Linked DNA regions of Neodiprion lecontei. The protein of the gene in region 1 purifies or fractionates together with the protein of each later gene. This does not show direct contact. Links are inferred from orthologs where the notes say so. Each region holds a gene or a part of one and is shown on either strand. Other genes may lie near its edges.

Evidence for each region. Proteins that work in one complex are often made in the same cells at the same time.
Region 2: the proteins of protein LSM14 homolog B (region 1) and eukaryotic translation initiation factor 4E transporter purify together in Homo sapiens (affinity purification with mass spectrometry; 3 studies listed by BioGRID and IntAct, with this or other methods). This does not show direct contact. The link is inferred for Neodiprion lecontei from reciprocal best matches to the Homo sapiens genes LSM14A and EIF4ENIF1.

The regions. Positions count from the first base shown.
Region 1 is NC_060266.1:24,400,322-24,406,691, forward strand, and holds the start of protein LSM14 homolog B, read right to left. Parts: upstream 4,691-6,370; 5' UTR 4,507-4,690; coding exon 4,386-4,506; intron 3,242-4,385; coding exon 3,087-3,241; intron 2,938-3,086; coding exon 2,622-2,937; intron 1,198-2,621; coding exon 1,002-1,197; intron 899-1,001; coding exon 569-898; intron 365-568; coding exon 167-364; intron 1-166. Other genes in the region: cytochrome c1, heme protein, mitochondrial, read left to right, coding at 5,167-5,238, 5,685-5,732, 6,053-6,201, 6,306-6,370. UniProt on the Homo sapiens protein: Essential for formation of P-bodies, cytoplasmic structures that provide storage sites for translationally inactive mRNAs and protect them from degradation. Acts as a repressor of mRNA translation. May play a role in mitotic spindle assembly.
Region 2 is NC_060261.1:14,469,402-14,477,092, forward strand, and holds the start of eukaryotic translation initiation factor 4E transporter, read right to left. Parts: upstream 4,100-7,691; 5' UTR 3,926-4,099; coding exon 3,745-3,925; intron 1,437-3,744; coding exon 1,339-1,436; intron 1,241-1,338; coding exon 1,167-1,240; intron 1,074-1,166; coding exon 809-1,073; intron 620-808; coding exon 1-619. UniProt on the Homo sapiens protein: EIF4E-binding protein that regulates translation and stability of mRNAs in processing bodies (P-bodies). Plays a key role in P-bodies to coordinate the storage of translationally inactive mRNAs in the cytoplasm and prevent their degradation.

The DNA.
Region 1 (6,370 bases):
ACTTGCAAGTAAAAGATACAGACAGAAATCTGAATAAGTTAGAATAGTAAATTCGTCAAATTCTTCCAGAATTTCAATTCCCGTATTATTGAAACATTTTTACTTTTGGCAAAATAGCAAAGAACGTTGTTTTATAACGATTTGTAAAATGCGTGACGGAACTTACCCTTTACTCCTCTCTACAGCTTCGCAACTAATGTTGTCAAAGAATGATTTGGACTTGTCGTAATGTACGACGTCCGTTTCTTCCTCAGGCTCTCCCTCGCCCGCTCCAGTTTCATTGCCGCTATCGTCTTTTTTCTCATTGTCAGTACCGTTGTCAATCTTAGTCTTAGCCAATTGGGACCTGCAATTTTCAATCAAACTGCATACTCCGTCATAAATTATATGGCAACTCATTTGTCCAAATGTTAATAAGCAATGTATCAAACCAGATCTCACCGAGAATATAAATCCTTTAAATTTTAATATACTCGGTTTAAAATATATTACTTGAATGTATTTACAAAAACGGGCATTTCAATATCTAGTTCGAAAACAGCGAATTGTATTGTTCAAGTGCGTCTACCTTAGCTCTTCGAACTGCGTATTGGCTTGTTCGAAGTCGTAGTCATTCTCGAACTTCAACATGTTCTTCGGCTTGTTATTTATGCTTCCTGGCTGCGGGGGTCTGAAGGTACCTCCGCCACCACCGCCGCGTCCCCTTCCTCGTCCGCGAATATTTCCTCGAGCTATCCAACCGCCGCGATTTCCGCGTCCCGCCTGATGCATCTGGGCGTGATTCGGCCCTGAAGGATGTCCGTGTCCTTGAAGTTGATTTCCGTCCTGCTTTTCACGATTGTCACGCTTTCCGTCGCTATACTGGGACATGCCGCTGCCGGTTCGCCCGCTGCCATGACTGCGAAAGTTTATTTACATAGGTAAATTGCACAGTTAAAGAAAATGAATGAGCAATGATAGAATATTTAAAGAATGAAAGTACAAGTCATATTTTTACCAACCTTTCACGATCGCGATAAGATGGTTGTATGGTTCTAGCGTTGGGCTTGTCGCTCATCGGTTTGTGGATGTTGGCGTTCGTCGACCGCTGTTGATGGCCAACCTGCGTGCCCTGATCCATAGTCGGACTTTTCCTAGTCATCAGGGATGAAGTGGGAGTAGTCGATCGAGATCCTCCGCTGATCAAGTCCAACACACCTGTGTAGCAGGGGGGAAAATTCGATTTTTTAATTGGGATACTTTTGTTTTATCCTTTGACTTTCCACACGTATACAAACAATATTTTTGAGGCAATCTTGAGGCAGACGAATTTACCAATAATGCAAGAGAAGACAGACATCCTGTTCTAATGCGATCAATGATGCCCTTGAACAATTCTGGTGTATTGCCATGAGATATTGGACTTTTTACATCTTCCGCAGCTCTGTCACATTAAATAAGCCGCAGAAGATGCATTTTTGTCAATTAGTTTTAGTTATCTACAGCACCGGATAATTGAAGAATTATTCAGCTGATTTCCGACAAAAAAAGAACCAGACAGACAGTGAATGTTGTTTCAAAAATTTTGAAACTGTTCTACATCTTGAGTAATACGTTATAATTGAAGGTCACAATTATCACACGGTGCTGAGATGGTTAGTAATAGTTATTTAGAAGGTAAAATGGTAAACTGTATGAAACGGTAGCAAGGAAGATGAACAATTATATTAAAGCATCGGTGTACTCTCTTTTAAAATGATCTCATAGTGATTTTCTACAAATTCATGCTAGATTTCGGAACATGACAAATGAAAAAAACAAATAAATAAATCATTTAAAAGAATTTGCAATTGAGAATAAATGAATACATGCCAACAACGTGGATAGAGATAGAGATAGATGGAAAGATGGATCGCACAAGTAAAGTTGCAATCGATTAAGGAAAGTTACACGTATTTTATACCATAATGTAAATGATAACTGGTTTTGCTATATTTGTTCTTTCGTTTGTTTGTAGGCAAAACTATACTGTTCCTAGTTGAAGAAGAAACAGATTAAACATGCAACGAAAAGAGTCAAATGGAACAGTGACAAAGCACTATTGAATCGATACGATTTGGTTAAGGAGTTTTAAAAGCTGTTCCAAGAGTGAGCTGAACAATACCAAAACTTGAAAGTACAGTTCACCTCATGACTGAAACATTGCACATGTAAATAACGAGAATTTGATATAAATAATTCTTTATACGATCCGCGTCATGTTTCAAATGCAAAAAATGAGTTGAAATTTCTCAAATGTAGCGAGTTGAGATAGATGTAATAAAATTCGTAGAATAAAAAAGCATCTATTCGCAGAAGCAGATTTAAAAGAAAGACAAGAAAATATGTACAGAGACCAGCCAAAGCAGAAGTGCATTAATGTAATGTTATTTTTGCAGCAAGAACCGTAATTTTTCGGTCCACGTTAAACCGTTCATAATAAAAAAGGCACGACTGACTCTTTTTCTCTTGGTTGAAGTAAAAAAGCAACGAGAGGCGAGCAGATGTTAGATAAAAGTGAAGAATAAATAAACAATTATACCAAATCAAGCTGAAAAGCATCAGGCATGCCGGGTAGCAAGATCATAGCAAAAACAGTTTACCATCTTCCAAAGATTGGTCTTTTTGAATTTGATCAACGTTGCCCGGTGCTATCGAGTTTGGGATCGAGACGACGTTGGGTGCTCCAGTGGAGCCCAGGCCCAACTCACTTGGTTGTTTGTTCATAGCGACTCGAGGATCTCGTCCAGCTGCAGGCATACCCATAACTGGACCCATGGCTCCCATGGCTCCAATTCCACCCATCGCGTATCCGCCTCCGTACTGGCCGCCCATTGGTCCGATTTGACCCATCATCGGATGGTTGAATCCTGGCTGTGGCTGGTAAGACGGCTGACCCATGTTGGGCTGTACTGTCATCTGTGAATTGGTAATATTTATGTAACAAGTAACCGAGCTGCCGCGTCTGCCGTAATAAAGCTGGACAATTTACACAAGTGTTAGTAAAATTGAGCGATGAAGCAAAATAATTCATTTCAAAAATGATCTTTGAATCAGCAATATTTTACCTGGACAATGGCTGGATCGTTTGGAATGGTGCTGACATTGTTGACGACTCTGATGTCTTTAATGTCAGATCCTCGAAATAATATGTATTCATAGACTTGGTTTTGTGGCGCTACTGGAAACTGGGTTTCTCGATCCTCAGTCCCAAAGGAACGAACTGTAACGAATAAAAACAGTCTTAACGAAAAATAGTAATCGATCGTTAGTGAGTATTTGGCACTCGTCGGAATGTGTCTTAAAAATAATAATAATAACATTAACGATAATTTATGAATGAAAATTATTGAACATTGTCTGAATTTTACTCTCTCTATTGATATTAGAGAAATTGGAAAACTTGTGAGTAAAATGCAAGACTGTTATTTGAAAATAATCGAGCAAAAACATATATCTTTGTAAGAAAATCAGAAAGTACAATTGATTGACGATTATCAATGATGTGATACGTTATACACAAAATCGATTCCAACTATGTTTACGTTTACGTTAATCCCAGAATTCGTTGAGCGGATATTTCAAATCCAAACGGTTCTCGTTTGAATAGATAGAACGCTCGAAGGAGGGAGAAAAAAAAAAACAAAAACAAAAACAAAATACAATCTCTTAGGTGAACCTGAGAGCCCGTCATCATACGACTGTGCTGAAATATATTCTTCACAACAAGCGTTTGAAGGTGATACACGTAATTTTGACTAGGATATCATGATGGAGAAGTGAAATAATAGAAGGGGGGGGGGGGGGGGGGGGGGGGGGGGAAGAGAAGAGAGAAATTACAGTAGATATAACTAATTGAAATATCGCAATGAAATTGTTGTTATTTCAATCATTGCGGATGAAACGTAACTGCGACAAATTTTCGGAAAGAGGAATAACAACGTAAAGAATGGAAATACATAACACAGCGGAAGAACGAGAAAGAGAGAGAGGGGGTGAGGGGGGAAGGGGGGGGGGGGGGGAGAGAAAGACAGAGAGATAGGCAAAAGATTGCGACGCGAGATTGCAGGATCGTAAACTCTGGTGACCTGGATTGTTTTCATAAAAAGAAATGAGAGAAAAATATATGATATGAAAAAGTGATAAGTTAAGGTAGTACAGAAGAACTGTCAAAAAAGAATATAATCAACCGGTATCAATAGTTGAGAATGTAAAAGCTACTTGTGGAATATCGAGTAGTTGTTGAATTACAGGGAAATAAAGGTAATAAAAGATGTTCTGGTCGTCTGCGAGCATCGGGCGGTTAGGCTAAACTATGAAAACGGCGGAAACAAAGTTGATGCGAGAAAGAAAGGAGTCCATCTTACCGTTGGCTAAGGCGATCGTGCACTCCTGTGGATCGACGGTAAATAAACGGCCTTCATAACGAATATCTGCCTTCGATATTAGGCTTATCTTAGAACCAAGCTCCGGCATTCCGGCACTCATCTTGAAACTTTTATGTATTACTAACGATCAACGAGATGTACTTAGATACCCGATACCGTCCGCATCTACCGCTCCATACAACCGTCTGAACGCGAAACGATATACCACAAAAACTATGCGCTGCTGACTCTCTATACGCTCTACGCGCCAGCTGACACCGATGGACGATGTACGCGATGGCGGAGGATCTACGACACCCGAACGCAAGGCTGCCAACTTGACGATACGAACGCGCGTCGGTCGTCTGCTCGAAAATCTGGTCTAATCTTAATCTGAAATTTTTAATTATTACAAAACTTTTCACCGGTCAGCTACGCGTCGGTGATAAATCTGTTTCAGGCATCTATCGTTGTTCGGATTTTCAGCGTTAGATGATTTCCAATAATTTAGGACTCTCACATTTACCGTTCGACAAACGCTTAGATAACGTTGGCTAACATGGAATCGTGACGTCATCGCAATATTCCTAATCTTACAATAATTGATTTTAATTATATTATGAATAGCATTATAGTCGATATTTGAACGAAAATTAATAATATTTTCAACCTCCATTTATCCGGTATTTATACTCGGGATGTATGCAGAAAAAATATCTTCGTCAAATTAACGGTACATCCAACGACTCGTGTTCTTTTGCAGTCTGCACCTCTAGCTAAGATGGCGGCATCGCTGGGAAGGGTTTGCGGTTCGGGTCTTTTAAAAGCCAGTAATGGTGCTCTATTTAATCAAGTAGGTAAATTTTGACCCGAAAAATCGTGGCTTACTACTCAGAGTTTAATTCGCGATAATTCCGATCGAGCTGTTCCTTTTGTCAAAGTCACAAATTGGCCACGACTGTCTCTCTATCGAGGGAAGTTCACTCCTCACAAACCTTTGACTGAACGTTTTACCATCATAATTTAACCGTCTGTAATCGTCAGTTCGTTATTACGAGTCATCTATAGTTAGTTTCTAAGATAGCTGGCGGTTTATTGACAAACTACTTAATCAGAGCAAAGGTCCAGAGGATACTTTGACAATTTTAGTGTCCATTTAAAATGATATATTCTCCCTTCATACACGTTATGTAATAGAGCAACATTCAGCCTCTTGTTATGTACGCCTGTTGACACATTTTATGCAGTTCTGAATTTATCATTATAACGAGAAGAAATATCTCCTTCATCTTCTTGCAGGTCAGCACCTTCTCGACCGCCCGAGACTGGGCAAAGGGACGAAAAACGGTACGTCACATAACAATGCACAGCGTCTAACGTCCTTCCCTGCCCTATCCCAACCTCTAGAGTTCCTAAAATTCATGACGACATCCCTGAAGTTTGATTTTATTTTACTCCGTGAGTAAAATATACCAGGATATTAATGATATCCCATGATATCCCTGAAACTAGACAATTGGACATTTTTGGTATTTGAAAACCTGACGCGAAGGGCGATCGTACAGTTTGTAAAAATAATTTTAATATCTTAGTCAGTTACGTGTTTCTCACCGCATTTCGATGTGTAAATAATTCCCAACCGCAGTGGTTTCTATTGAAATTTGCAGTTGCTAGCATGCCTTGGCGTTGCGACAGGCGGTGCTGGAGCTTTGGTATATGCCTTGGAAAGTTCCGTGAAAGCTGAGGGCGTTGAATTACACGCTCCAAATTATGCCTGGGACTTTTATGGGCATTTAAGTTCCTTCGATCATGCCAGGTAACGTTGAATCAAATGTGATGTTAATTGGACTTCTAGGAGAAGTGTAAAATATATGTAGAGTCGGAAGATTGAAACGTAACTTGCACTCATAACAATTTCAGCTTGAGAAGAGGTTGGGAAGTATATAAGAACGTCTGCTCCTCGTGCCACAGTCTCAAGTACGTCG
Region 2 (7,691 bases), on another chromosome or scaffold:
TATCATTTTGTTTGTCATCTTTGTCCAACGAGTTTTTCTTGCTCCGTTTCTTCTGAGCAGGTGACTGCTTTTTACCTTTCATATTGTTATTGTTGAGCGCTCTATCTTCAGGGATATCTTCGAAACCACGAAGTTCGATGGTGTCGTGCTGAGATGTCGGCCCTGAACTAAACCACTCTGGTTCGTCGATTTCTCTATTGTCGCTGTAAGTTCGCCTTCGGTCATTTCCAAACCTTCTGTCACGACCACGATCCTTGTCGCGATCCATCTGGTGACTGCGATCGTGTCGATCACTTCTGTCCATCCGGTCACGTTCACGATCTCGGTCACGATCACCAAAGTCTCTGGTAAATGAACGCCTTTCAAATCTTTCATCTCGTTCCCTGATATTATCACGATCTCGGTCTCTGTCTCTAAGTCCTTCGCGATCCCTTCCCACATCGCGAGTGTCCCTGACATCTCTGTCTCGAAGTGGTGCTCCACCTGTTGCTCCAGATCTGAAGCTAAATTCCGGGCGATCAGGCTCAAGTTTCTCTGTATCAGGTCTGAAGTCCCAGACGTCTCGCGTCAGTATGCGACCAGAACCTATACGACGCACTTGTTCCCGATGCCCAACCTGCTGTATACATAAAGATATTCATTTATCTATGTATTTATAAAGTATATTTCGCATCGAATGTCTTTCAAGTTTAATATTCAGGGTGCATACAGAACCATCAAAAGGAAGAAACATAATGGGTTAATTCCAGATTTTTTATGTGATATACACCCTGAATATTATTTTGAACCACAATTTCCAGTTACTCGCCTCTGGTTTGCTGATTGGGCTCTCTGGACGCCGAGTTGGCAGCTGGCTTACATTGACAAAGCATCCAGAGTTAAAATTTCGGCGTTGAGGACTCAGCACTATGCCATCCGACTCTTTACGGATTCGTTCCCGAAAATCACCGCTGCGACGTTTACTATGATTTTCAATCACTTGATCCCCGCGTCCATTTCTGTCATCGTCAGGAGGAGTTTCACTTCGCTTTCTATCAAGATGCCAACGCTCAGGGTCCCAAACGCCTCGCGAACTGGATGGAAAAACAATTGTAATTTAGATATAACAAATATACCAAATAATTATGGAACTTCAATAAATAAAATATACACAAATATAAACGCACTTATTATAAGCGGAATCCAAACAATCTGGCCTACGCTTGGATAGAGGTTGAGTCTTCATTTCCATCAGTTCCTCCTATGGATGGAAAGTCACAATGATTATTATATCATGAATTGAATTAGTGAAAGATCTGACCATTACCTAAAATTAATAGTAATACATCTTTCGCTTACCCGAGTATATTGAAACTGAGGTCGAGATCTGCCCACTTCCACAATAGAAGTATCAGTCACTTCGCCTGCCACAGACATCGATATTATCGCTTCATCTCCTGCAGCAATATTTTCAATTTTCAACATCATTCAAAAAACTAAAATGTATGAAATTCAGTTTATTATACATATATACGCAACAAACACAGATATAATTCTTATTATTATCAATTCATATTACTGGGTTTGGAAAATCGCACAATAAATGATGTGAAATGAATTATCTAGTTACGAGTTATTTGAATAGTTATATTTCACAGCAAGGATCTTAAAAATGATAAGAGTGAGGAATTTTTGAACTTCAGGTTAATGTTAGTACTTATTATGATTATGAAATTATTGTTAAACCATCGCATGCATGATACATGTACAAATGTATAAATGAGCTGTCATTTTGTAAGTCACATAGATGCCATATAAACGATGATGATAAGACCAATTATATATGTGACAGTATTGCTACCGAAAAACGTAAACCAGAGTGCAAAAGATGGGGTCCGGAGACATAACCCCACATCCAGAATCAGAAACTATGGGTTGCCTCAGTCTCTCTGTTGGCAGATTTAAGATATGTGCCAGTTTTTGAGGGCAAAATATTAGCTCTGACTGTACTTCAGTACCTCATAGTGTACACTTACAATTAATTATGAAAATCGTTCAATTTTTAGCCTTTAAGACGATGCTATAATCAGTCTGTACCGACCGAGTAAAATTTCGCTTAATTTAAATGTTACCAACGCTTATGCATTACAATCGCAAGAAAGCAGCAGAGCCCTTTTATGCCGTTTCATGCAAAAATAAGTCTAGGAAATTAATTGTTTTCATTCTTTTGATCGAAGAATTAGATATTTTAGACGGTATCCTGAAGTTTTTAATGTGGGATGAAAATGGGTTCCGAGTTAAAATAAATGTCAATATTCCAAGGATCTTGAATTTTCTAAACACCTTATATGTCCCTGGTACATTTATATCGATTATAAATATAATCCCATTTTCAGTTTACTCTCAAAATTCCAGGATATACTACAAAACGTCCATTATATTACACGGAAAAATAAATACAGTTTATTTTTACCCTCTTCGCATATACAGGACTGAAAATGTCGGGAAACATATATTGTTTTTGGCAATTCCTGAATTTCTCATGCCTTCAAATGTATTTTATATTCGGAGAGATCAAATGTTTTCCAACAAGTACAAAAAATTCGAAACCGTGATAAAATTGATCGTAACTCGTAAACATTTGACGTACAAGGGCTTGAAAATTGGACTTTCTAAATCATCCAAATTGCAACCAGATCGAGATAATTGAGGCTAAAAAGCTGTCTGCAAGTTAGCGGATCGGTAAAGCGGATACCTGACACTCTCGCAATGAATCAGATTGAAGTTAGTAGCGTTAAAGTAACGAAATATTGAAACTAAAACTATTGTTCTGAAAATTTAAAACGACTTTAAAGGAATTTAATTTCCATAATCAGAATACATTTGGCTTTTTAAAAATAGCTTAGTCAATTTGAGACGATCCTACAGTTGCGAAATAATGATTTTTCCTAAAAATTAATCGTTACATTAACGTTACTAACTTCACTGTCTTCGCGGTGAGAAAAGGCCATTCCGCCATGGTTGCCGCAATACACGGAGTCACCTCGTCTCGGTCGACGAGTTGCCGGCTTCGCCATATTTTCGCGGTATATGTACAATGTACGTATCGTTGTATGTCAATATTGAGATCAAACAACACCGATCGTGACACTGAACTAGTATCCGCAAATAAATCATAATACATTGTCCGCGCAAAGCCTGTACACGAAGCATTTTGAATGTAATGTAGGCGTATTCGTCTTTAGCAATAAGGAGAAATTGCCCTAGCGAATTACAACAAAACTGTAATGATGATGAAACAAAACTAGAAGAGAAACCGGAAAGGATTAACCCTTTCAGTCACAGATGCTCAGCGTCTCACCTCAACATTTCCATTTCCTAGCCTTATCGCAGTTTATTTAAAACATCAAATGATCGTTGTTACGTATATATAACACCAAAATCCTCGAGTAACAAGTTTGGACCAGAATCATCGAATTTTTATAGTTTTTATTAGATTTTACATCCGTTATATTGGATTTAGAAATGATTGAATTCTGATTTCAGATTCGTAATTAGCAACCTGAAAAACCCCCATGTCACAAAATTCAGGCTGAAATATTGAGTTGAAAAATGTGCAACTGAAAGGATGATGTCCTTTTTTGCGTTTGAGATACGTGGACTTCGATATTTGGAGATGCATATATACGACAACGTCGAAATCGACCAGGGTACCCCCTTAATGAAAAAGAAAATTTGAAACTCTGATAGCCAAGTGATACTCACGAAAAGTAACTCTTTTTACGGGATTGGAAGCACGGTTGCGACGAGACCATCGAACTCCTTGATTCTGGATAACCAGAGAATCAAGAATACACGAACCCGTCGGCCCAACAAGCGGGCGACGACGCGGACGCCGGTATCGATAAGTTGAACCGGCGCTGATTTCGTTATTTTCCAGCTTCATTTTGCAACGGAATAAGCAATATTTTTGAACACGTAAACAAAAGTAGCTGAATCGAACGGGTGAAATACGGATTTAACGATTAGAAGATGCGATCGACTCTTTCAACGCTAACTGATTTCGTCTCGAAAGACAACTGGCGATTTTCAACCACGGACAAATTCATGTACTGCTTCTTGCCTGCCGTACTTGCTAAACCGTTGTCCTTTGAATTCGACCGCGATGTTTACTATTTGGACACCAATACACATGCTATAAACCCGACTTCTTGCTGACCACGTGAACAATGTAGCCGAAATGGATGCTCAAACTTGGGGACAATATCCTCGAGAGTCGTCGGAAAGTACGAGACGCTTGAAGACAGACCGTTTTGACTAAATTTCTGATTCGTAATCCAGTATGTGAAATGTATGTAAAATCCAGTACAAACTAAATACAATTTTTTTTTCTGGCGTCTATCCGATGAATTAGAATATGCCTCTAATACTAGTTACTCATGGATTGAAGAATTAGCTCACGGTTTTGTAGAATGATTTTTGCGCAGTTTGCCTTGTACATTCAATTTTTCCTTGCGATGTACTACAGTTGGAAAAACGACGCGCAAAAATCAATTCGAACTGCAGGCATGTAGAGCGCAAAATTCGCCCTTGAGTATATTGTAATTGTTGACTTAGAACGGTATAATTCAGATACAGGTTTGGTTCTCTTGTACACTCAGCCCTCGGAGCAAAAAATAAGTTTTTCAGCCTTGAAATTGAGTACAGAGTGTAGGGGATGCGCCGCATAGAATGAGCAATCGTTAGTAGGATGTAAGATTAAAGTTTGTAACGTTAATATAGCGAAGTGTGTTTCGTCAAAAATCGTTATTTCGTAACTTTATGTAAATATTAAAAAATTCAGTAAATCGTAATAAAGCAAACTTCTCTCAAACTCCTTGTCCTGCTGCAAAATATAGATTGTTTTTGTGTTTTATTACGATTATTACGTTACTAATTTGAACTTCGCTAAATAAATAAAAAAAAAAAATTAAAAATAAAAAAAAAAGATTGTTGGACGTAAAAACTTCGGGGCGGGTATAAGTTTTAGGAAGTGTGCAAATATTTTATGCGATCACCAGGTTGAATTTAGTTCGCGGATAAAGGAATAATTTTGGAAAGAAAATGTTTTTCGCTTTGTCGCCGGGATAACGAAAGAATCTCCGACTTTTCCGACTTATTGTACCCAGCTTAAGTAAGAAAGTTGGTTGGTCAAAATCATATACTTTTTATAAATTTTATTAGGAGGTAGTCGTATATGTAGTATTGATCAAATTAATATATTCTTAAGCTGGAAAGATCGCTATGAGAATGAAAAAATAGAAAATACTGGAATTGCAAGCAAGAGCTTAGATATCGATGCTTCGTTTCAAATTGCTTCAAAATTGTTACGAATCTACTAGATTCATTCGATTTCACTCGATGATGGCTCATTTTATTTAAAGGACTATTAAATTTTCTACAAATTCACTGACACACTTTTTTATGATCTTGAAGTTAGTAACGTTATTGTAATGAATTAACGTTTCGGACAATCCGATGTTTCATTACAATGTTACTAATTTCAACCTCACACTTTTCATAGATATTTAAACTTTTTTTCATAATTCCAGTATCTATTTTGGTATTTTGAAAAAGACGATTTCATAAATTTTTAATGTACGTACCGTCTTATAATAAGATTAATAAAATGCATTAATTTTTTTACCGACCAACTTCCTTAAGCCTTGACATAAGAAAAAAAATTGCGAAATTCATATAGCGGAGGACAAGCGAGTGCGAAGCTTTGCTTACATCAATAGAGAATATAGTCGCTGCAGAAACTTCTTTTTCAGCAACTGAACTATTTTACGGTCCAAAAATAAGAATATATCGTTTTAACCACTCACACACACCGAGAGAACGTACAATATCTCAAAAATTTGCATCCATAGCGTTGACATGTCGACATGTAAGTAGAGAATAACAGAAAATCGGTGAAGCTTTTACGGACATTGAACGTATTTGAAAAATCTTCATACCCACTGTAACAAAACGATAATTATTTTCTGTTTCATTGAGTGGAAACAAATGTGAGCTGAGAACGATACATGCAACTTGATTGGGATACACTTTTGAACAGTACATTATTAACACCTTCAAAATAATTATAGTTATACATTATTAACACCTCGAAAATATGTAAAGTTATTCATGAGTTGACGATGCAAGAAAAGAAATGTCAAAGAGGTAAATCATGAATGCACAGCTTTAGCAAGCCAGCAGCATCAATTTTGATTCTGTATTTTTTAGTTTCTATTTTTTGAGATATGCATCTAAAATTTCCATCAGTCAGGCTTATTTGAAGGCCTAAGTCTGATAATGAACGAATATTTATTAGTGGAATATTTAGCAACCTCTACTTTATCGTTTATAGTACTTTTGGACATCAGCTAAACCAGTTTGATTTAGCCGTTAAGATATCATGATTAGAATTTTCGATCAAGCTCGACCGATCGAAAATTCAGGTGCATCTCAGGACATGAAATCAGTGTTTTTGGTTGCAAACCAAGAAATAAAAAAAATTATGGATATTAAATATTTCGCCATAGTAGTCTTGAAATGTCAATCGCAAAGTTTTTGTTTAAAGTCATTCTGCAACGATACCCTGCTTGAAGTAATAGCAGGGTTTGCGTGACGCAGCATGATAACATTACTTTTCAAAATAGCGACAGTGTAAATTCGTTCGCAATTAGTCCGTAAACGTTTAGTCTGATAGTTAAAGTTTAAAACTACTGCTTACATGTATATCCTCTCTAGCGGTTGGACAATATTCGAACCACCGATCCTCATTGATATAAAATCTGCGTTGAAATGCTATCTTCAAAAGACACAACTCTGGATAGTATTTTAATAGGGTATTGTTTGAAAAGTATTGATTAAGAATTTTCTATGTTTGTACTAAGAATTGTGAAAAAAACAGATCCCTAATTTTGCTACACAGGCATCCAATCCGTGGGATTCGGCAAAACTTTTCTGATCCGTTCTTTAACTTTTCATGTGCATGAAGAATAAGGTTTGACAGAAAACTAAATTTATGACCAGGGCTGCAATTCAAGGACAAATTTCCGAGGAACGAATTAAAGCTGAGTAGCTATTCCAGAGCATGGAATATTGAAGGGGGCTAAAGCATCAAAAAATCGTTGTTTTTTGTTCTTTGAAAAGTGGCGTTTGAATTTTGGAAGAATTCGAAAAATTACGGATTTGACAGACAGAAACGTGAAACATTGTGCGGTCCGCGAACTTGAATTTTTTGGAATCTGGGTGCCATGCCAGTTGCGTTGATATGGAAAAATGATCAAAAGGCCGAATTAGATAAAACAAAATCATAGAGTAACAGCGGATCAAGGAGGATGCTGCACTAGAAACTTCGTATCACAGTGCAGGGAACTTTTAATCGTCATAAGCACGGGTAATAGTTTCGAAAAAGCATCCAAATCTTTGAGAGAGTTTGTCTCCCATTTCATTTTTTTGAATATCATTGTATGATTTCTCGGAAATGGAGTATCTGATCGACTTGAAATTTGTACAGCATCTTCATTACGTGTGTCATTTTGATTTCCAGTTCAGACGATAAAACTTTAGTTTCTTAATTATTGATTAATAAAGCTTCAAATTCTAGCAAAAAATCCATGTTTTTACTAAAATGGTCGAATTTTATTCATTTTTTTTTTTTTTTTTTTTCTCTGAGCATG